Oryzias latipes: one gene and its partners. The protein of the gene in region 1 binds, or shares a complex with, the protein of each later gene. Links are inferred from orthologs where the notes say so. Each region holds a gene or a part of one and is shown on either strand. Other genes may lie near its edges.

Region 1 (4,948 bases):
AAACTCCAATTAAATTGTGGGTTATGCAACTTTAACCAGGAGTAGCCTAGTACTATGGGCGTATGAGTGGACTGGGTAATGAAAAATTGCATAACTTCCCTGTGGTTGCCAGAGGTGAGAAGTTGAACAGGTTTGGTTCTATGCGTAATTCTGGAGAGGTGCTGCCCTCCTAAGCCCGAGGCCTCTACAGGAGCTTCCAGAGGTTCTGTGGGAAGACCGAGTTTAGACACCAGACCATGATCAATTAGGCTCTGTTCGGCTCCAGAATCTATAAGTGCCCTGAAAGCATGAGTTTGGGTTTTACAGCATATTCTGACAGGAATGCACAGGAAGCTTTGATTTTCCTGAGTGCTGAGGTTGCCCCCCCGTGACCTGTCACTCAGCGGGGGGTTTTGGGAATTTAAACGCAGAGTGCACTGTGAAACTAAATGTCCATGGGCTCCACAATAAAAACATGAACCCTCCTCTTTTCGCCTCTGTCGTTCTTCTGCAGATAGTTTAGAATGATCTCTGTATAGGTCCCTCAGATGGTTTGGAGCTTGCGAGAAAATCCATTCTGAGGGGCGACTGGGCTGTGATGGTAGAAGGGGCCGGATCGCTGATGGTTTTCTTCGGGGTCTGTTGGCGATCATGACGTCGCTCGGTGAGTCGGATGTCCGAGCGGAGGGCTGCTGAAACGAGCTCTTCAAAGGAGTTAGTTTCAGGCTGAGTACAGAGATGGTCTTTAATTTCTTCATTCAAAGATTGATAAAAAATGCCCTTTAAAGCCAGATCTGGCCAGCCTGCTTCGACCGCCAGAATGCGGAGTCAATGACGTGCTCACTAACAGTCCGGTTGTGTTGTTTCAGGTTAAGTAATTTACGTGTGGCTTCTTCCCGTTTACGGGGTTGGTCAAAAATCAAACGGAATTCGTTTAGGAAGTGTTCATAGCGAAGGTGACTAATAGGGTTAGCAGAAACAAAGGCTTGAGCCCACCGAAGAGCTTTCTTCCGGAGAAAATTTATTATAAGGGTGATTTTACTGATATCAGAGTGATAATGCCTGGGAGCCTGCTGGAATATGAGTTGGCATTGAAGTAAGAACCCGCCACAGGCTTCTACGTTGCCTAGGAACGGTTCAGGCTGTAACCGGAAGTTTTCGGGTGAGTTGACAGGACCGGAAGCGGAAGCTGCATTGTTGCCGGAAGACGGAGTAGAAGCTCCTATAGCAGGGTTAGCATGTCGCTCGGTTAGCTCGGAAAGCGTTTGGTTCATACCTCTGATGCGAGAGATCGTGTCCTCTTGGACTGTAGTGACGCGGGTGACCGCACTGGAGAGGAGTTCCAGGAACCGACCTTGTTGGGAGACAATATTTTGTAAATCTTCCGGGCCAGCTGGGTCGGGGTTTTGGCTAGTTGTTCGTTCTGTCATGACTTGTCAAAGCTAGACAGACCCAGACGCTGAAACCCAGAAGGAAGACAGGAGGTGAGTGAAGGTAAATAATAGATTTAATTTTTCCAGCGGATGAATTTGTCCTGTTGTGGCGGGGAATGGCAGGAACGGCAACTCCAGATGAGAGGGTGGATCTTGACGTGGCTGGAGGTTCGGCTGAGGCCAGAGCTGAGGCCTGATGTATGGAGCGTTGAGAGGAGGTAGGTAACTCCGGGGATAACTCCGCTTGGGCTGAAGCTGAAGCTGGCGTCCACTCGTGGGATATGTAGGTCCTGGACATAGAAAGACTAGAGTTTAGACGAGGGTAAAGATACGTAACAGGAAAACTTGAAAGAGACCAGACAAGCACCATCAGGGGCAACGAACTAGCGTTGAATTCTGGTCCTGGCGCTCCTTAAGTAGGTCTGGCAGGTTGATGAGATGAGTGAACGCAGCTGGGACGAATCAGTGGCCAAGCAGAGAGGGGAGGGGGAAGATAGCTGACAGAGGCCCCATGACAAGGAGTTCACTAAAATTCACCTCTGAGCTTTTGGCAGGACTGTTGGCATGAAGTAAGCCTGCCCTGACATCATCCCTTTGTTTACACTCTCTCCCACTAGCCTACAGCCCCTCAGAACCCCAACCTAACATTACAGATGCAACAAAAATGGCGAGCAATATCGAAACTATCCTGCCGTACAGTTTTGAGCCAGATCTCAGCTCATACAAGGAAAATGAAGGCGGAAATAGATCTAGTCGTCTACAAGTGGATGCATCAGAATAGAGAGGAGCTCAGAGCTTGTGGCCTGCCAATTGTAGCACCTATGTCACTGCTTCAAGCTTTTTCCAACAGCATTTGTTTTATCTGCTCCTGATTCATAACGATTTGAATAAAGAAACACTCAGAAATGCAGTTTTGATCTTAATTTTCTTCATAGATGTCAAAAAAACGCCACAAGAACATGTTAAAAACACCCAAATCAGGATTTTTATTGGAGTGGGTCTTTAATGTGAAGCACAACTGACTACTATATAATTATTGGACGAATACTGATATAAAAGTTAGGCTCAATCATTTTTTCTGACATATTATTGACATATATACTATTTAATACCATAAAACAATCCAAAAAGCACACAAAGGGAGATTTTCTGAGTGGTTTAAAGAAAGGTGTGACATATGATGGAACGGATAAGGGAAGGTACGACGGTACAGGGTTCAGACGGGTGGAAGGCTGGGGATCTGGGGCTGGAGGCATACTTGTGGTCTGAGCATGCTTGGGCCTGTCAGAAAAAGGATGCAGGTACCAGCAGGAGGTTGAGAACATCAGAGAGCAGCAAGATCGTATCTTTCTCTTTCCATGCTGTACCTGAGTGTTGAATCACCTGAGGAAGCAGCCCATCCTGTCCTTGTCCAAATGTCTGTTCTGTCTTTTTGCTGGGAAAGATTCAAAATGGGTCTTTCAATTATAAAATTTCATGTCATTGGTACATGAGGTTTGCTTTTATATTTCTTATTTTTATTTCATTATCAGTGTTTTGCCAATTAGAAAGACATTTTGTTTGAAAGGGCATAAGAACAAAAACATGAAGTCATATTTACAACTTTTTGTAAATGCATCCTTGACATACTTATTGGAACTTCATTTAATATGTAAAACTTATACACACATTCTACTGCCAGGATGCATCTCAGAAATTGCTGAGATTACTAAAATTACCAAATATAGCCAATTAGTCTCTAAATCCACTTATTCCTGTTCAATGCCATCGTCTACCCAACCACTGAGGAGGGAAGGTAGAGTACATCCTGGACAGTTTTCCAGTCCATAGCAGGGCAACACGGAGACAAACAACTACAAACGTTCACACCCAAGGGACTATTAATAACCACCAATTGACCTACGAAGCATGACTTTAAACTGTGGGAAGAAATCAGAAGAAACCTACGCATAAACGAGGAGAACATGCACACTCCACACAAAAAGGTGCAGCAGGGTTTTGACCCAGAGCCTTCTCCCTGTGAGATGAGAATGGCAACAACTACGCCAGCACCACCAACGTATTAGTAATAAATATGACACCTATTTTTTTATAAACGTCTTAGAAAAAATACAAAAACAAAGCTTGTGTTTAGGCCCCACTACTTATTGGACCGTTACAAAGAAATGGATAAACATAACGTTTGAAACGTGTCCCTTAACTCAATGCTTTCTTAACTCGAAATAAGTAAAGTGAACTGGGTCCCTATTATTTTTTATTGTTTTATTTATATGTTTTATTGTTTATTTTAATGCTATTTTAAAGGCCTAAAAAGTATATAGAAATCACAAACATGTCATAACATGTATTTGAGAACACGTGTTGAACTTCAAGTCATGTCTGAAGAATACCAAGGAGAGGACCAAAATAATTTTGATCCATTAAGATAATGAATGTTTTTATAACTTGGTTCTTTGTGTTGTTTACATTTTCTGCACTTTTAAAGTCCCACTCCAATCATCTTTTGATCTATTGTAAAAGGGTTCCCAGTGGTATTTTAATTATGATTATGCCGTTTTTAGCCCCCAAAAAAACCAACGTTGTTTTCTGGAACATGGTTTCTGCAGAGCCAGATGTCAGCTCAGTTGAGGAAGCCAAAGACGCACTTGTATATAGTTATCTGCAAGTGGACGCATCAGAATGGACCAGAGCTGGAAGCTTGTGGCCTGCTGATTGTAGCACAACTACAAGCTTTTTCCAGTGGTATGTTTTCATCACCTCCTGGTTCACATTTGAATTAAGAAGTACTCAAAAATGCGATTTTAAGCAGAATTTTCTTTTGATATGTTCTTCAGCATTAGAAAAATGCCACAAAAACATGACTTAGGCCTTATACAACACATGTAAAGCAAGGCAATTTCATTTGCATATCGTTTTATGCAAACAAGGGAAATTAAAAATGCTTTGCAGAAATAAAATTGTTTTAGCTACATACAGCAAAGTAAAAAAAAAAAAACTATGTTTAAACTGGAACTTCAATCAAGAAACAGTTGGTTAACATCTGAGTTCACCAGGAGGTTGGTTCTAGGGATGGGTACCGTGCCCCGGTACTGAACCAGCCCCGGGGCCACATTGTTCAAGACCGCAGTATCGTTAAGATCTGACCTGAACGGTTCTGCTATCGGTACTGGAGAAGTTACTTTTTCTTTTCTTTTTTGTGTCCCACAAGTGTTATCTGCCATATTTAACTCACCAAGTCAGTCAATTTTCCGTTAATTAATTATGATATTAATTTTGGTATTCTCGTTGAAGCGGGGGCGGGGCTGTTTTTCAGACAGCACGCGCCGCGCGCGCACACACACACACAAGACAAGGCAGCGCACACACAGTCAGTGGCGATCTCGTAGGGGACACGTGAGCGCCCTAGACTAAGAACACCCGTTTCTGCGTAAAATTAATGAAGTTTGCATCAAGGAGCCCCTACCATGCTGTCACCTTGCTGCTACGATGACCGTATGTTGCGCTGTCTGTGTAGAACACGCTGGGGCGGCGTGATC
Region 2 (4,115 bases), on another chromosome or scaffold:
CACATTTACCACAAAAAAAAAAGAAACAACAAAAAAGGAGAAGAGAAAGAAGAAGGGTGTGTTGAAAATGTCAAAATAATTGTCCTCTTTTTTATGATTTATTTTTGTCTTGATACTGTGAGTAAACGTTAGGATTTAAAGACAGAGAGAAGGGAGGAATTTATGTTTGTATTTCTTATTTCTTTCACAGCTCCAGCAGAGACATTTTGGACGGTACAAACAAGTTGTGGGCTCCTGCCATGTGTTTGGCCCAAAACAAACCAAAGTACAAGGAGATATTCATAAAAATGTTTTTAAAAAATTGTTTTTTATTATTATATTCCTTTCATTTTTGACCACCTTTGTGTGCTAAAGTATCTGCCACTGAGAAAAATCACTAAATCAGGAGTTGATTGATCAGCAGAGAAGCATCAGACACCCTCATGAAAGGAGCTCCCTTAATTGCATTTTGGAAGAAGACGACAAAGAAAAACATGTTCACTGCGATCCAATAGAGAAAACTAATCTGTAACATATTTGGTGCCCTCATTGAGCCTAAAAATCTGATTGGAAAGGCGCCCCCAACTAGCCCCGCCTTACTCTGGTGGGATCCCTGTGAAAAATCTGGAGAAACGTCGTTCTAATCCTAAAGTGCAACTACACTGATCCTCTGTTACAAAATGCAACACGAATTTATCAAATTCATAAAGTTGACGTACTCTCCTCTGGCAGCGCCACGCCCAGCACCGTCTTCTGTTTGTTCTCCAGCTCTGACACCATCCTCTTTAAGTTCTGCAACCCCTCGTGGATTTCTTGCACCTTAGAAAGAAGTTTGTAAAGTTTTAGGATTAACAGGCAAAATCATCTTCCCAGACAAACAGCTTTAACTGCAACTGTAACATCCTGACCTTTTTTGATCAGAAAACTTCAATTAATGGGTTGGGAAATGCAGTGTTTGTATAAAAAAAAAAGAAATCCAAGGAAATATTAGAACAAAGATCCCTCTGCTGACTCTTATTTTAGAATCTTCTCAAGGTTTATAGATCATAATGGATCCTTGACTTTAAATAAAATCCATAACTGCCTTGACTTTATGATTTCATCTCTCTTTACTTAGTTTATTTTGATTTCCTCACAAATGGTTTGGATTGAAAGACATGCTCAGAAACTTTTGCCATCTTGATGGTATCTGACTCCAGCCTCCCTCAAAGAAAAACATCTGAATTTTAAAAATATAAAGAAATTTGGAGAAAATAGAAACACCATTATTACAAACCAACACCTTTGAACATGTTTCATTTAACTGATACAAAAAGTATCCTAAGATTTTCTAATGTGAGAAAAAAGTCAGTTGGATAAACAACTGTGTGTTATTGTTGGTGTCCGTCTGACTCTTTCACTCAGCCAAACTAAAATAAAAACCTGAAAAGAGGATTTCTGTTGCTAAAGCCCTTTTATTGTTTGGGGGGGGGGAAATGCTTAGCATAGAAATTATTTTTTCCAAACAATTAAAGTTCAATCAAAACTTAAAAAACCTAAAAAGTTAAACCGTGATAATATATGGAAATGCTTCTCTTTACTTCTTTCTGTTTTAATGTTTCTCTTCTAGATCATTATAACTACAGTTTGCAACAAGTTGAACATCATGATCATAATTTATAGCAGCTTCTATGACACTTTATTTAAACTTTCTTTTCAGAGATTTTCAAAATAAAACATGGCATTTCTTTCCCCTCACTGTAAAAGTAATGCTGCTTTCGTGGACAGTTGGTAAACTGTAGCATCAAATAATAAGTGGAGGTCTTACACACTAAAGATGGCTACAATCAACTAAAATGTCAAAACTTTATGGACATCTGCATTTTTCCACTAAAAGTCTTTTATTTATATTGTTAAGTGCAGCCCTACATACAGGCCAGTGTTTGTTGTCCGTTAATGTTTCACTCATATTTAAAGCTTCATAGTTGACCTTTTATATTTATTTACTTTCCTTTTGTTCTGGGATTAGAGGAGAATTTAATGTCGGCAAAACAATTGTGTGTGTTACAGCTAAACCTTCAGCTCTGTCCTCTGTCTCATAAACATGAAGCAGAGGCCCATTGGAGGAGCATTTCCCAGGACATCCGGTATCTGATAATACTACAAATCATTTGGAGGAGCCCAGATCGAAAACTTGGATGATCACCTTTTTGAAAAAAGCCTCATTCTCCTTATCTTCCTTTGTTGAAGAGCTGCCAGGTTTGCTCATCAAAGCCGTTTTCTCCTCGTTCTCCTCATCTGAGGCCTCGGCTTTCTGCGGTGAGGTGGACAGAAACACACAAGAGGAGGATGAAACAGAGCTGTGTGAAGGTGCCGGTTCAGATCTGCAGCCGGGAGCCCTGCCCTTATCCCGGCCTGACAGCTTCCTTGGAGGAAGAACTCAAGCGGACGTTAGCAAAGCAATATCGCCACAAGTGCTTCCAAGCGTAGAAAATAAGGGGGGGGGGGGGGTATATTGTTTTGCTCTCATATGCGGGCTTACAGTTAATAAATAATCAGAGACCGAAGCATTTCAAAGTTCACTTAAACAATCAATACAGCTAGGTTAGCAAGCTAACGCTATTGCTAACACACCAACTTTAAAACTTACATTATCTAACTCTTTTGTTCGATCCCGCATTTTTGATGTCGATGTTCAGAGTTGGTGTCGGAAACGCTGCGAGCACGCGGCCGAGGAAGGACAACGGTTCCCAAGCAACAAAAGCTGCGGACTTTCCACTGCTGTCATTCAGCAAGTTTAACTCCAGAGCAACAGTTCTCACAGTTCTTCCTCTGCGGTTCAAACAAACAGAATTTAATCGATGGCGCCCCCTTGTGACAGACACCTTTACTACAGGCAACAAAACCTGCTTTGGTTTAATTCAATTGGAATAGCCAGAACCATACTATATTTGTACGACGGAGTATTAGAATTGACAGAGTATTACTATATTACTTATGATTATATACTATTATTTTATATTACTATTGACAATAAGAATAAATAGCAAATATGATTATGAAATTATAATATAAATATGAGAACGAAGTCGTAAAATTGTGGGGAAAAAGTCAACATTTACCAAAAATAAAGTTGAAAATGTATTATTTAAAAAGGAAAAAGTCATGTTTTTTTAAATTAAGGTTATAACTTCATGAAACTAAAGTTGTGCAATTACAAAAAAGAAAACAAAAAAGAAAAAATCATAATCAAAGTGATAGATATTCATCAAATTTCTCTGCAACATCATTTAAACAGGAACCATTTAATTGTCATAGTTGAAAATTTTTAAAAACTAAATTTAACACTTTACTTAAGAAAAAAAGCATGACATCTCTTTGAAAATTGCAAGTTTTTACAGTTTAAACATATGACTTTATTCTTGAAAATTGTAAAATTTCTTTTTGATAATTGCATGACGTTTTTGTAGTAATTGTTTTCTTAGTTCTTCTAAAATGTAAACTTTTTGTATTTTACACCTTTTTTCATATATAAATGTTAATTTTTCTGCTTTTATAGTGGCCATAATACTTTGTTGTTCATTTGACATATGAACAAAATAATATGAATCAAACATTTTGTCAAATTAAAAATTAAAACAAGAGTTAAAATAAGAGTGAACAGAGATAATACCCAGCAACAATCTCTCTCCACTCTTTCACATATTCTGTCGCCTCCTCTTTTATTAAGTTTTTTGGGAATTCCCTAAATTACACATGCGCTGAGCTCTAAGGAGTGGAAGACAGATTGAACACAACTGCAGCGCCATCAGAAAATATTAATTGCAACATGTCCATCTTATCACAGTCTCCCCACATCATCTTTGGACCTGCAAAGCCTTTTCTCACGGATAACTGACACAGAGCGTCCTTTGATTCCGGTCTTGACACAGATACCACATAGTTCTCATGCTGATCTTGGGAAGACGCTAAGATAGTCGGTTTCCTCCCAAGAGTTTCACCTTCACCTTCCTGTGAAACAGAACTTGGACACAAACACTTCTGCATGTATGATTATATTACCTATAGAGCTAGGTAATACATAAAAGCAAATATGAGATAACTTACCGGTATATACATTTTTCTAACACATATATTAAATCTTATTGCTTTACTTT
Region 3 (4,209 bases), on another chromosome or scaffold:
CACGAGAAAATGTTGTGGGATTTGGTTAAACTGCCGTGAATTGGTGCAATGGCAACATTGCGAAATCCTGTAAGGTCTGACAGAAGCATAAATGTATAAACGTATTCGTCTCTCTGCTTCCATTCAAGCTACAAATAGAGAAATAAAAGTACATCATCTTCAGGAATCTGCAGAAATGTTCTAGTTTGACTCACAGATTTCAGTCTGGAGACTTTGGTGGCCAGGTTCTCAGCCAAACGTTTGTTTTTAGCATCCAGCATGTCATCCACTGAGTCATGATCTGAAAACATACAAGATGAATTAAAAGTGATTTGTTTTAGCCAAAGGTTTTACATTTAATCAGACATACACATTAAAAACTTTTGTCAATAAAGCCCAATTTAAAAGAAGCTACACGTGAATGGGTTTAAAACAGACCTCAAGTTTTGCTTTCATTCTAGCTGCACTTTTGAATGCTATGTTAAGATCTTTGATCACAGATTTACTGATGAGACTGTAGGAAGTACCATGACCTGGAGGAAACCAAAGAAAAGGTGATAGTTCACTCATGAGATATCGGCCTGCTGCTCCATCATCACTGAACACCCAAGCCAGGAATATTTAGGGGGGAATATAACTAACACCTTCATAAAAACTGGACTGAAGTGTGCCTGCAGAAAGGCTGTACTGACTGTACTGACTGTACCTGCAGTACTGCCGAGGAGCCTGTGTACTTTCAGGGAGGAGTCACTTCCGAGGACCTTTTTACTCTCTGTAATGGTACCAGCAGCCAGAAATGGTCTTTTTATTTATGATGATGATGATGATGTTTTTAGCCCAAATCTAAATAACTGTGTTGTTTTCTAGGACATAGTTCCTGCAGAGCGGTAGGAGTTCATCAGAACTTCACCTCTGAGTTGTGGGCAGAACTGTTGGTGCAGAGAAAGCCCGTCCTCATTTCCTATGATCCCTGTGATTACATTCTCTACTGCTAGCGTACAGCCGCTCAGAACCCCAAACTAATATTAGCAGTGCAACAAAAATGGTGAGCAATATCAGAGCTATCTGGTGTAGGTACCGTAACCGTTCGCCTGCAATAACCGTTCGGGGGCCTTTCGACTGAGGATACGGTAAATTACATTACACTTAAAAAATTTACTTGGCATGTATATATATTGCTAATACACATTAAGATTATAGTTAGAAAGCATAATTGGTTAAATATAAATGATAAAATATACATTTCTTGAGAGCACTAAAATTTGAATTTCTTTTTCTTTTCTCAAGGTTAGAAAGAATGTGACAGACTGTGCATTGACAGAGGATGACATTTCAAGCGCTGAAGAGATGGTTAAAGCACTTAAACCAATGCTTGTGGAAAAGAATCCAACCATTTCAATGATTGCTCCTCTTCATGCCAAACTGCTGTACAACTCAACTAGCACTGAAGAAGATTCTCCTCTGGTTCGAGAGATCAAGACCTTTCAAAGAGATATCAGTCTGAGGTGGAAAAAGATCTCCTACGCATGTCCTCAGCCCTAGACCCTAGATTTAAATCTCTTTTGTTTCTGCAAGACACGTCTGCAAAACTGAAGTCAAAAGCAGCTTTAAAGGAAGGGGATCCAGTGTCTTGTGATGACCTACAGGAGGATTTGGAGGATGAGGAGCCGCCACATTCCAGCAGCGACACCAGCACCACCAAGAAAAGAAAGTCTGCACGAGTAGATCTTCTGGGTCAAACCTTCAAGAAGACCTCTTATGCCTCTACAGCAGCAGCCTCGCAGAAAAAGAGGTCAAACAATATCAAGACGCCTCTTCTCTGCCTCTCACTGAAGATCCACTGCTGTGGTGGAAATCTCAACAGCATGTGTTCCCTCTGCTCTCCAAACTGGCCCATATGCATCTGTGGATTCCAGGGACTAGTGTGGTAGCGGTTATGGTACCTACACCACCTACAGCTTAGATCCAGAGTCCAGCTCAGAGAAGGAAAACAAAGACAGAAGATGGATCCATTTGACTGACAGGGGATGAATCAGAATGGAGCGGAGCAGGAAGCTTGTGGCTCGCCGATTGTAGCTCCTACGTCACAACTACAAGTTTTTTCAAACTGCAATTTTCCGTCTGTTCCAGATTAACAATAGTTTGAATAAAGAAACTCAGAAATGCAATTTTAAGCTTACTTACTTTTCTCCATAATGAGAAACAATGGCACAAGAACAAGTTAAAAACACAATTTTCATGGGAGTGGGTCTTTAAATACTGAGCAGAAACTCGAATGAGAACCAGAACCACAGAATTTCAGGTTAAACCAAAGTTACCGACGGACATGAGAGATTGTAATGTCATTTCCGACCATAGTATTACTAATTACACGGATTCCGAAAAAAAGGAAATTTGTTTATCTAAATAGGAACCAAAAGATGAAAAAATAGAGTGAAACTTGAACATTTATTTGAAAAAAAATCCCTCAGAACTTAAGGTGGTTTTATGTAAATAAACGAATTTGTTGACAGCTCAAAGTTAGTTCACTTCATGATAGCTACACTGACTTGTCAACAGCTAACTAAACTACTGTTAGCTCAGAGTCAGACGCTCCACATTTCCGGTCGTAATCTAATCCGACTTTATTTCGCTTTAAATACTCCCTCCGATCTACGGGACTCGTCTTATCCTGATTAAAACACCGAAGATGAACAAATATTAAAAAGTGAATACGTGTTCGGTTTCCTACCTCTGTCCCAGCTCGCCATCTTGCTTTGTGACGTCACAGTCAGCTGCCCGGAACACGTGACTACGACACGTTATCAGTTCTGATCCTGAAGGAAACGGAACAGGTTGAAATGAAAGTTTAATCCAGAACCGCATAATTTATTAATGTTCTCTGCTTTCATCGGGATGAAAAACACAATTTATATAATTTCTTAAGATTCATTTTTTGTTTCTTTCTTACGCTCTATAGAACAATTCAAAGTTCCTTTAGTAAAAATTACTTGAAGTTTTTGTTACTTGAGTATGAGTATTGCAAGTGTACTGTAGACCATGTACATGTAGTGTAAGAAGTATACTAACTGAGTCCTTCTGAAGAAATGTGAACATTTTAAGTCTACAATGCATGGATATAAAAGTTTAAAGTATACTGCCTACCTTTTAGTGTAGACTAAGTATACTTGTAGTACACTTAAATACACTACTTTTTGCGAAGAGTTTGCTCTGGTAAATAACTATTTTATTTTCTATTGCGAGAAGGTAACAAATTAAAACTATAGACTCTAAAGTGAATTTTAGTCAAATCTAGGTCACAAGGAAGGAATAGTTATTTTAAAAAAGAAGTATTTGATTAAAAAAAAGATTTCTAAACACATCACTCTTGAACTGTTTACGCTTAAGCTAAGGCCCTTGTTTCTATTGATTAAATCTGTTCTTTTTTTAATTTAATTTGCTATGTTTCGTTTTAAATTGACTGCATTCTTCAGTTCTTGAATAACATTTTTGTTTACAAATCACACTTTTGAAAAACAATGAGCAGAAATACCTCGTTCACACCTTTTTAATCAAGCTTGTGCTTTTTCCTAATTGAAGTGTTTTGTGTTGTTGTGTTTACAGTATTGACAAAATGTCTTGGGTCTGGATGACCCTTGTTTTCTGGAAACTGTTCTGCTCTGGAACTCTCCTGTATGAATGAGAGTCCTCACAGAAATCATGTGTCAGCGGCTCAGCCGTGCTGGTTGTGTTCTTTGGGTATTGGCTTCATTGACCCGGCAATCCTCTCTCCACATATAGGGAGGGGGATCCTTGAGATTTCTAGCATCATCTGAGCCTGGTGGTGTTTGTGTCCCTGGTTCTGGTTCTGGTCCGTGCATTCTTGCTATGTAACTCCTCATCATCATCAACACCAGAGAGCCTGGTCGGTCCATGCTAACCATTTTTCGCAGGGATCCTTGTCTCTCGCTGGAGCCCTCTTCCTGCCTGGATCTGTGCTGGACTCCCCACAGGGCAGGGAGGTAGTTGGCTAGGCTGTGACATGAGTGTTTCTTGGGGGATGCAGACGCCTGGGTGTTGGTGGACGCCTGATCTGCGGCTGTGGGAACTCTCAGGTGGGTGTGACCTTGCGCTGGACCTTGTGCTACCTCTGGACTGGGTGGCTGGTGCCGTTTGTCTAGGGGGGCAGACCCCTTCGATCTGCTTCTCTGTGTGGGTGTCTGGGGGGTCACGTCTGCCCCTGCTGCCTTG
Region 4 (4,254 bases), about 15 Mb from region 1:
TTTATTTTGAAAGGACGTCATGTGAACCTCTGTCAAAGGGTGTAAAATATTTTGTATTTAGAAAAAGAGGCTCATTTGTCCTTATGTTTTTTATTCATGCCCCGAAAAAATTCATTAGGGTTTAACACAACAGTAGAAATACCACAAATACACAAATCTGAGTCCTATTTTACTAAAAGGTGGAGTAGGACTTTGTGGCTCCTGTTGGGTTGTAGTCGGGATTTGTGGCTTTATTTTTGCTGGTGCTGTTCTTTTAGAGGTTTTTACCCTTGTTTTTGAGCTGTCGCTTATTATTATCATCCTTCTGTAGACCACTATAAGTGAATCTTGAAACATTTTAGTGGGTTTGTTGCTGAAAAAAATACAATTGAGAGCCATATTCCTCCTACAACAGTGTTTACATACATTAATTTGTACTCCATGAATATTGTTTCTCTGTTTTAGTGATCTTTGAGACTATGGACGTTTAACTTTTTTATTTTAATATAAATTACAAAAAACAAAAATCAGTTGTTTAGTAGGGACTTGTGGGACTATAATATATATATTTTTAACGTTTAAGTACATTTTAGTTCACAAATCTTAAGTAAACACTGCTTGTTTTAAAATACTGCCCCCTAGTGGGGATAAAAGACATCGCAGGATTTTGACCAAGTAAACAATGACATGTAGTAACACACTAAAATATAAGCTCAGTTTTATCAAATAAAACATGATTTTGGTTTCTTTTTAAGTAATATAAATTAACAAAAAATGTTTATATACGAGTAAAAGGGATTTTCTTATGAACAGACACTTCATCTTCCACGTGAAGTCTGCAGCCGGGCGGTGGAGAAAGCTAGCATTAGCTTCTTCGATGTGTTATTATATATTTCACCTACACAAACTTTAACCAATATACAGTTAAGTATCTAAATAACTGATCAAACAAAACGACATTTTCTTATTTTACCATTTCCAGTTTGGGTTTCTTCTCGCCATCCCCGGCCATGCTTTTCACGTCGCTCGCACTGCAAAGTATGAGCTTTGTGTTTCTTCCCCTTTATTTTTGACTTACAGGCTGAAAATGAAAGTGTCGCCATGCTGTTATTATTCATTAATAACTGAACCCGCTTGGTTGGACATTTATTCCGACTACAACCCTAAGAATAAATGTTTTATTTAGTCTGCCATAAAGAGATATGTCGATTTGAAGTGATGACACAAATAAATTTTGTTAAACATAGACATACAAAACATGCAATTAAGAAAAGATAAACGGATCGAACTTAAATTAGGTTGGTGATGAAGTACTACCTTTCACTGCGCTAAAAAGTAACATTCCTTAACATTTAATTTGCAAATGCATTCAATTTAGCGTGTAATCGTAGCCTTTAAGGCTAAACTGAGGGGAATTCCTAAACAGTTGCTCTTACGCATGAAAACATATGACGAAGACACATCGTCATTTGTAGTTTAGGGAAGTGTAGTTCAGAATGGTAGAAGAGCAGCATTCACTGTGAAAGAAATTGCAAAAAAGAACTACATTACCCAGCGTTGGTCAGTGTGTGCTTCCGGTCCAAAGGATCCGCAAAGCAGAAGTCACTCGAAAGGGATTAGCTAGCTTGCTAGCAGCTGACACATTATAAATGTGGGAAAATAATTAGCTCGTTTGAGTGGCGCTGACACGTTAAGGTATCGTTTTGTTTTGTTTTTTTGCAACAACGTTTAACTTACAAACAAAAACTTGAACTGACACTTTGATTAACATTTTGGTCTTTTCGTTGACGCCACCACTGTTCCGTGTTTATTTCAACATTACTTACTACGCTAGCTTGCTGCCGAATCAGTCTTTGTTTTTCCCAATGATTTATACCACAATAACACGCATAGGGATGTTGGGTGTAATCGTTTTTAGTATTTTTTTGTCTACAATACACAATTTTTTTCCTTTTCTTTCTAACTCATCTTAACGGAATTCCGGTGGGAGGGAGGGAAGGCGGGTGGGGGCATTTTTGTTTTACCTGAGCTCCACCTACCAAAAAACAACAACAACAAAAAGCTTATTCCTTTCCTTGTTTATTTGACAGAAAACTAACGTAGCGGAGAACCCAGCTGTGTTACCATGGCAATCCTGTTTGCTGTGGTGGCTCGTGGAACCACGATTTTGGCCAAACATGCTTGGTGCGGGGGCAACTTCCTGGAAGTCACAGAACAAATTTTAGCCAAAATCCCCTCAGAGAATAACAAACTGACCTACAGCCACGGCAGGTACGGTCCAGTTTGCTCCTTCATCTCAATAATTGTCATTATTTTGCCCACAATCAGGGCTAGTTTCTGGGAACGTGTAACTGATGGTGTTTCTATTTTGTTTTCAGTTACCTCTTTCATTACATCTGCCATGACAGAATCATATACTTGTGCATCACTGATGATGTGAGTATCTTTGGACTTTTTATTTTGTTTTGATGTTCAGCAATAGTTGGGAAGGATGTGACACTGGCACAAAGCTTTAAATACGTGTAGTTGCATTTATCGTGATTGAATGTTTTCTGTTAAAGGACTTTGAAAGATCTCGTGCATTTACCTTTCTTGGCGAAGTCAAGAAGCGCTTCCAGACGACGTATGGCTCCAGAGCTCAAACCGCCCTTCCCTACGCCATGAACAGTGAATTCTCCTCAACGCTGGCGGCTCAGATGGTGGGTTGAGCGTGACAGATTTCCTTAGAATGCCATATGACTTTTTTTAGAAGAAGAAAAAGACTTTTGCTTTAGTCATAACCAGAAAAGCAAACTTCTTCTATTTTTTTTCCTATTTCTTTTGGTTTTAGTTTCGTTTTTCCCCCAGAGTAGTTAAAAACGTCCTTTTTCTTTAAAAAAAACCCTTTTCATGTCAATTTCAGCTTTGTATAGTCAACATATTGACAAATGGGTTTCAACTTCCTTCTCTACAATCGTGGCATGTACAAAAAGATCAGCAGATGGTCACATGACCACTCTGGCATTTTAAGTACGTTTTAAAGTCAACCTTTGTCTGCTGCATTTGAATCTGTATCATTTGAATTATATCTGAACATTTTCCTGACCTGTGCAGCATAGAGATACAATTATCTGTCTTTATTAAGAATTTTCATGGAAGTGCTGTTTTAGGGATGTTTGGTATTTGAGGACAGACAAATATCTGAACCTCTAATGTATTATTAGCAAGGGTTTTCCAGTGTTAGTGTTAAAAAAAACATTGTCCTTTATTTTCCACCAAATATCGAAGTGATATGGTCGAAGGAGTAAAAAGTTTTTTTTTGTTTTTAAAGGAAAAATGAGTGCAGATTTTCAGTGTTCCTGTGGGGTGTAGGTACCATAACCATTCGGCCTGCAATAACCGTTCGGGGTCCTTCGAAGAGTGCTGACGTCACATTATGTGATTGGATGTCTGTTGGTCCGATCACGTGCAGTTTTTAAACTGTTGCAGTGAAATAGAAATGATGTTTTAGGTTGTTTTGCTCTTTGTTCATACACCACAAGTTATATCGTCATCGCAATATCAGATAGTGATTGGTCTGGATAAATTACGATACTAACATAGAAGAAGATATTATGCGGTCCGTTGTAAACATACAGAGCTCCGACACAGAGAAAGATTATCTTCTAAACGTGCTTTTGGTAATATTATGATTAGGCCTGCACAATATATCGCAAATTTATCGTTATCGCAATATCAAGCTGTGCAATATGCATATTGCAAAAGACGGCGAAGATCGCAATAAATGGTTACCTTAAGTATGCTAAAACAATCTGATGGCAGTATTTAACGAAGCAAAAATAATCCCTTTTATGTTTTTGACCAATCGGATGGAGCCCTTTTGTGTTAGATGTTCGTCTCCTATGTAGATGTTGGTCATTTGCAATGCAGTTTTTAAACTGTTGCAGTGAAATAGAAATGATGTTTTTGGTTGTTTTCCTACACCCCAAGTTACATCGTCACCGCAATATTAAGTTTTCCTCATGACATGTAGCCCTAAATATTATTATTATTAACTGCATTGCAGCTGAACAGACTGCGTTCTGAACTCTTCTCCGGACCGCACACTATAACAAAGCAGCTTCCCAGCCTGCGAACACGAAGCTACGAGACTCCAGCTGCTCTGCTCAGAGACACGGTTCACTCGTGTGGAGCAGCAGGTTCATTCTAACAGCCACAGATCTTTTTACAAAGTGGCTTGTGGCAAAATATCTCTGTAAATATTACAGAGAATAATCTCAGACACATCTTATGAGG
Region 5 (4,298 bases), on another chromosome or scaffold:
AGCCCAGCCAGGACAGGGAGCTCATGAGCGCCCTTCCACATATTCCAGCTACAGAGCAAGAATGAGTCTGTAATACAACACAGTTGCATGTTGCTGTTGACGAATACAAATATGTCATTGATCTGCCAGTTTGGAAAAAGATAGTGCAAAGATATATATTCTATATGTGGATAAACACCTGCTGCCTCCTACAGACCTGCTGCTGCTTCCACGACGCTTCAGGTTCATGTCCTGCTTCCTCCTATGTCTGTGATCCAGATTTCCACTCCTCTACTGAGTGGAGACGAAGGGTCCAAAGGGGAGAGAACTGCAGGGGACCTCCACCTGAGGAAGACCTCCACCTGAAGAAGACCTCCACCTGAGGAAGGCCTCCACCTGAAGAAGACCTCCACCTGAGGAAGACCTCCTCCTGAAGAAGACCTCAACATGAGGAAGACCTCCACCTGAGGGATACCTCCTCCTGAAGAAGACCTCCACCTGAGGAAGACCTCCACCTGAGGAAAACCTCAACATGAGGAAGACCTCCACCTGAGGAAGACCTCCACCTGAGGAAAACCTCAACATGAGGAAGACCTCCACCTGAAGAAGACCTCAACATGAGGAAAACCTTAACATGAGGAAGACCTCCACCTCTGTCTCCTTTCCCCCCTCCTTCTCAAATATGTGGCCTTCAGACTCTGTCATATTTTTTGAATAAACATCATTTTGCTCCAGCGCGCTGAAACTATGTTTTAGTCCTTTATTGTTAATGTTATGACTTGTTTTTGTGGAGTTGACTCGTTTCCATCCTAAAGGACCGGGGCGCAGCAGAACCCTGAAGCCTTGTCTCCAGTCTTTGGTGGGAGTGTCCCCTGGCCCCTGCGGCTCCTGCGGCTCTTGGCTCCAGCGGGGCCGGGCCGTGCGCGTCATGTGACCGGGGAGTGGCTGCGAGTCAGGAAACGGCGCAGCTCCAAGTCTCAGCGCAGGTAAAGTCCAAACGATCCCAGAAACGAACCGAACCGTTCTAGAGCAGGTTTTGGTCTCGATCCAAAATCCTACCGCGGGTTTCGGAGCGCTTCACTTTCTGAGGACAAACGGCGAGATGTCCCGAACCGGGCTGGGGGCGGGTGGGGGGGCAGTTGTGTAGAGACCGGTAGTTTCATGAGCTAAACGTCACGTTGACGCTTAAAGTTCGGGGTTTTATAAACAGAAACTCCGGGAGAGAGCAGCCGTCACGGAAGGACACAGACCGTGGTGTTCCGAGAAAGTCCTCTGATTTCCGCATTTGCGGCTGCTGGAAAGACTGCAGCCCCACCGACCGACCGCTGCAGGCGGCAGGCTGCCCCGTAACGCACGGCGGAGGGGGTCTTGACGGGGTCCTAAAAACGCGTCATCATAGCAGACGCTGGAGCGCCGCTGGTCCCGGAAACGCGCGTGAGCAACTGCCTGACCCGCGTCAACGCCCCCCCCCCCCCCCCCCAACTGGCCCCCGATCAGAGCAGACTGGGCATGAGCCCACGTTGGTCCAGCATGGATGGGGGTCAGGGGTCAGCTGGGCTGGTGTTTGCTGCAGCAGCTCTTTGGTTCTGACCTTCAGCGTTTCAGAGTTTCAGGATTTGTTCTGAGAGGAAAAGCAACTTTCCTTCTTTGTGTTTTCACTGCCTCCATCACTCAAAGCTGTGAGGAAGTTTCCATCATCTCCATTTGTTATCAAAACGTTGGTTTGACCTCAGACTGTTGATGCTTATGTCAGACAAACGCTGATGATGGTGTAGTTTTCCCTCCTGATCCTGTTGGTACAGAGTAAGCCCACCTTCACTTCCCGTCATCCATAGCTTTAGCGGCACCACAAGAATGCTGCTCAATATTGGAGCTGTCCATGGATCTATTTGTCTGCAGGTGGGGGCATCAGAATGGAGCAGGGCAGGGACACTTTGGCCTGGCCAGAGTATTTTCTACATCACTAGTCTTCATCACAGTCTTTTTTTGTCTGCTCCTGATTGACAACAGTTTTGGGTTTGGGTTTTGCCAGCACCCGTCCTGCTAGTTAAAAACCTACTCCAATGAAAATGGTGTTTGTGGTGTTTTTACATGTTCTTGTAGCATTTTCTAATGATGGAGGACATACATATATATAGAAAATCAAGCTTAAAACTGCATTTCTGAGTATTTCTTTCTTCAAATCGTTGTGAATCAGGAGCAGAAGAAAAAATGCTGTTTGAAAAACCTCTTAGTTGTTACGTAAACTACAATCAGCAGGTCACCAGCTCCCTGCTCTGCTCTATTCTGATCTGTCAGACAAACAGATCCGTGAACGTCTTTGTCTTCCTGGTCTGACCTGGAATCTGGATCAGAACTGGACGGATGATAGATCTGATGTTGATCACCATTTTTGTTGCATCACTAATATTAGCTTGAGGTTGTGAGGGGCTGTAAGCTAGCAGGGGAGAGTTGTAAAAAGATGGATGACGGGAAGGGGGGGTGTTGTGCTTTTCGCCAACAGTCCCGCCCACACCTTAGAGGGGAATTTCTAATGAATTACTCCCAGTCCGCAGAAACTATGTCCTAGAAAACGACAACGTTTTCTGATTTAGTCTAAAAACAGCAGAATCGTAGTGAAAAGACCGCTGGGAACACTTTGACAATAGATCATAAGATGATGGTTGGGGGACTTTAAAGGTTAAACATGCAGTTTGTATGAAAGCAAGACATAAATGTGTCTTTCTGTGTGAACTCAGCTCTCATCATGGCCTACCAGGCTGGGATTCAACGGGAGCCCGCCGCTTTGGTTCAGAACATCAGCTCCAACATCCAGAGGATCACACTACTGAGTAATGCACACACACACACACACACACACACCCACACAGACCTGTGCACATGCTGAACCCCACTGGACCCCCAGCATCCTCACTCATGGATCTGTGTTCCAGCCTCAGAGCTGCAGAGGGCCGTGACCCTGCTGGGGACGGAGCAGGACAGCAGCCAGCTCAGACAGACGCTGTGAGTTCTGACCGCCTGCTTGATCACACATGCAGCCAAATGAGTTCAAACCGACAGCCGGCCTGTCTGTGGACGGTCACCATGCACACACACACATACGTTTCCCTTGTTCCTTCAGTCAGTTCATTTGTAAAGACTCCTGAATGGCAGGAAGCAGACTGTCTTTATTATTTTAGCATCTAATTCATTCATCAAAACAGAAAGATAACTTTAAAAAGATGTTCTAAACACATACATGTTCATATACACACATTGGAGATGCAGGTTGTTACTAAAGTAAGTTCTATTCTTATAACAGTGTTTTACTTGAATGGGATCATTTGTCCCTGTTTTAAAACAGTTCCATTCAGTGGGTTTAAGGTTCAAAAAGTAGTTTTCAACCTTTAGAATAGTTTTTTTTTACTCTGTACTCAGCTAGCTCCTGAAACCCGAGCATTTTCCACGTCAGGAGTAATGGATTTGTAAGATTTCTGTTTCCTCGAGTGAAACGTTTCACAGATGCTTCCCTCTGGTTCTCAGTCAGCAGAAACAGCAGCAGGGGAACCAGCTGGCCAAGGAGACCGACCAGCTGATCAAGGCCTTCACCGCCCTCCCCGTCGGTCCCGATCAGGTACGAGGCCCCTTCGTCCCACGCACCGATCACATCGAACCCGGTCAGGAGTTTGTGGGAATTGATCAGCTGTGTTTGTGTTTTCAGAGGCAGAGGAAGCTGCAGAAGGAGCGTTTGCTCAATGACTTCTCTGCTGCGTTGAACAGTTTCCAGAAGACCCAACGGCAGGCCGCCGACAAGGAGCGGGAGTTCGTGGCCCGAGTCCGAGCTGGCTCCAGGCTGTCGGTTCGTATTCGCCTTCGTCATTTCTGGGAGTGCTGTGAGCGAGAGCTTTCCGTGCACGCTCACCTCATACTCACACGTTCCACAACCAGGACCATCCGGGTTCTTTCTGAACAACACTGCCATGGTTTCCCGGTTTCAGCTGTTCTGGGCCATAATGTACCATCTGCTCAGAGTTTGGCTGAACGTTCAGACGTAGACAGGTTATTCAGATGAAACCCTCCAGCTGAGGAAATGAGAAAAGCTTCTTCCAGTGACAGTGTGTCTGGGTTTATAGGCGTGTTCAGGATGGAGTGGGTGAGTGTGAGCGCTGTGAGGAAATGTTTCAGATGGTCAGGTGAGCAGATGCACCTGTCCCAGCCTGTTCCAGACCCAGCATGAGCCTTCCGCTGGTTGGGGGGCAGATCTCTTTATGTTGATTCATTGATGGTTGTGGTTCTTGCTGGCATTCAAACATCTCCATAAAGTAAGAACAGGCATTGTC

What was found. The genes of interacting proteins can lie anywhere in the genome.
Region 2: stx5 (region 1) and syntaxin-4 share a complex: the UniProt entries of both Homo sapiens proteins name them as parts of the SNARE complex. The link is inferred for Oryzias latipes from reciprocal best matches to the Homo sapiens genes STX5 and STX4.
Region 3: stx5 (region 1) and bet1l share a complex: the UniProt entries of both Homo sapiens proteins name them as parts of the SNARE complex. The link is inferred for Oryzias latipes from reciprocal best matches to the Homo sapiens genes STX5 and BET1L.
Region 4: stx5 (region 1) and vamp7 share a complex: the UniProt entries of both Homo sapiens proteins name them as parts of the SNARE complex. The link is inferred for Oryzias latipes from reciprocal best matches to the Homo sapiens genes STX5 and VAMP7.
Region 5: stx5 (region 1) and stx7 share a complex: the UniProt entries of both Homo sapiens proteins name them as parts of the SNARE complex. The link is inferred for Oryzias latipes from reciprocal best matches to the Homo sapiens genes STX5 and STX7.

Annotation. Positions count from the first base shown.
Region 1 is NC_019868.2:11,883,491-11,888,438, forward strand, and holds the start of stx5 (syntaxin-5), read left to right. Parts: upstream 1-1,611; 5' UTR 1,612-1,630; intron 1,631-4,948. UniProt on the Homo sapiens protein: Mediates endoplasmic reticulum to Golgi transport.
Region 2 is NC_019877.2:19,255,879-19,259,993, forward strand, and holds the start of syntaxin-4, read right to left. Parts: upstream 2,801-4,115; 5' UTR 2,639-2,800; coding exon 2,609-2,638; intron 2,273-2,608; coding exon 2,165-2,272; intron 799-2,164; coding exon 699-798; intron 1-698. UniProt on the Homo sapiens protein: Plasma membrane t-SNARE that mediates docking of transport vesicles. Necessary for the translocation of SLC2A4 from intracellular vesicles to the plasma membrane.
Region 3 is NC_019864.2:3,547,362-3,551,570, reverse strand, and holds the start of bet1l (BET1-like protein), read right to left. Parts: upstream 2,801-4,209; 5' UTR 2,730-2,800; coding exon 2,711-2,729; intron 281-2,710; coding exon 195-280; intron 1-194. UniProt on the Homo sapiens protein: Vesicle SNARE required for targeting and fusion of retrograde transport vesicles with the Golgi complex. Required for the integrity of the Golgi complex.
Region 4 is NC_019868.2:26,863,141-26,867,394, reverse strand, and holds the start of vamp7 (vesicle-associated membrane protein 7), read left to right. Parts: upstream 1-1,454; 5' UTR 1,455-1,674; intron 1,675-2,069; 5' UTR 2,070-2,104; coding exon 2,105-2,250; intron 2,251-2,357; coding exon 2,358-2,415; intron 2,416-2,540; coding exon 2,541-2,678; intron 2,679-4,254. Other genes in the region: DNA-directed RNA polymerases I and III subunit RPAC2, read right to left, coding at 953-991. UniProt on the Homo sapiens protein: Involved in the targeting and/or fusion of transport vesicles to their target membrane during transport of proteins from the early endosome to the lysosome. Required for heterotypic fusion of late endosomes with lysosomes and homotypic lysosomal fusion.
Region 5 is NC_019882.2:21,987,155-21,991,452, forward strand, and holds the start of stx7 (syntaxin-7), read left to right. Parts: upstream 1-1,498; 5' UTR 1,499-1,513; coding exon 1,514-1,658; intron 1,659-2,717; coding exon 2,718-2,810; intron 2,811-2,912; coding exon 2,913-2,982; intron 2,983-3,501; coding exon 3,502-3,592; intron 3,593-3,679; coding exon 3,680-3,817; intron 3,818-4,298. UniProt on the Homo sapiens protein: May be involved in protein trafficking from the plasma membrane to the early endosome (EE) as well as in homotypic fusion of endocytic organelles. Mediates the endocytic trafficking from early endosomes to late endosomes and lysosomes.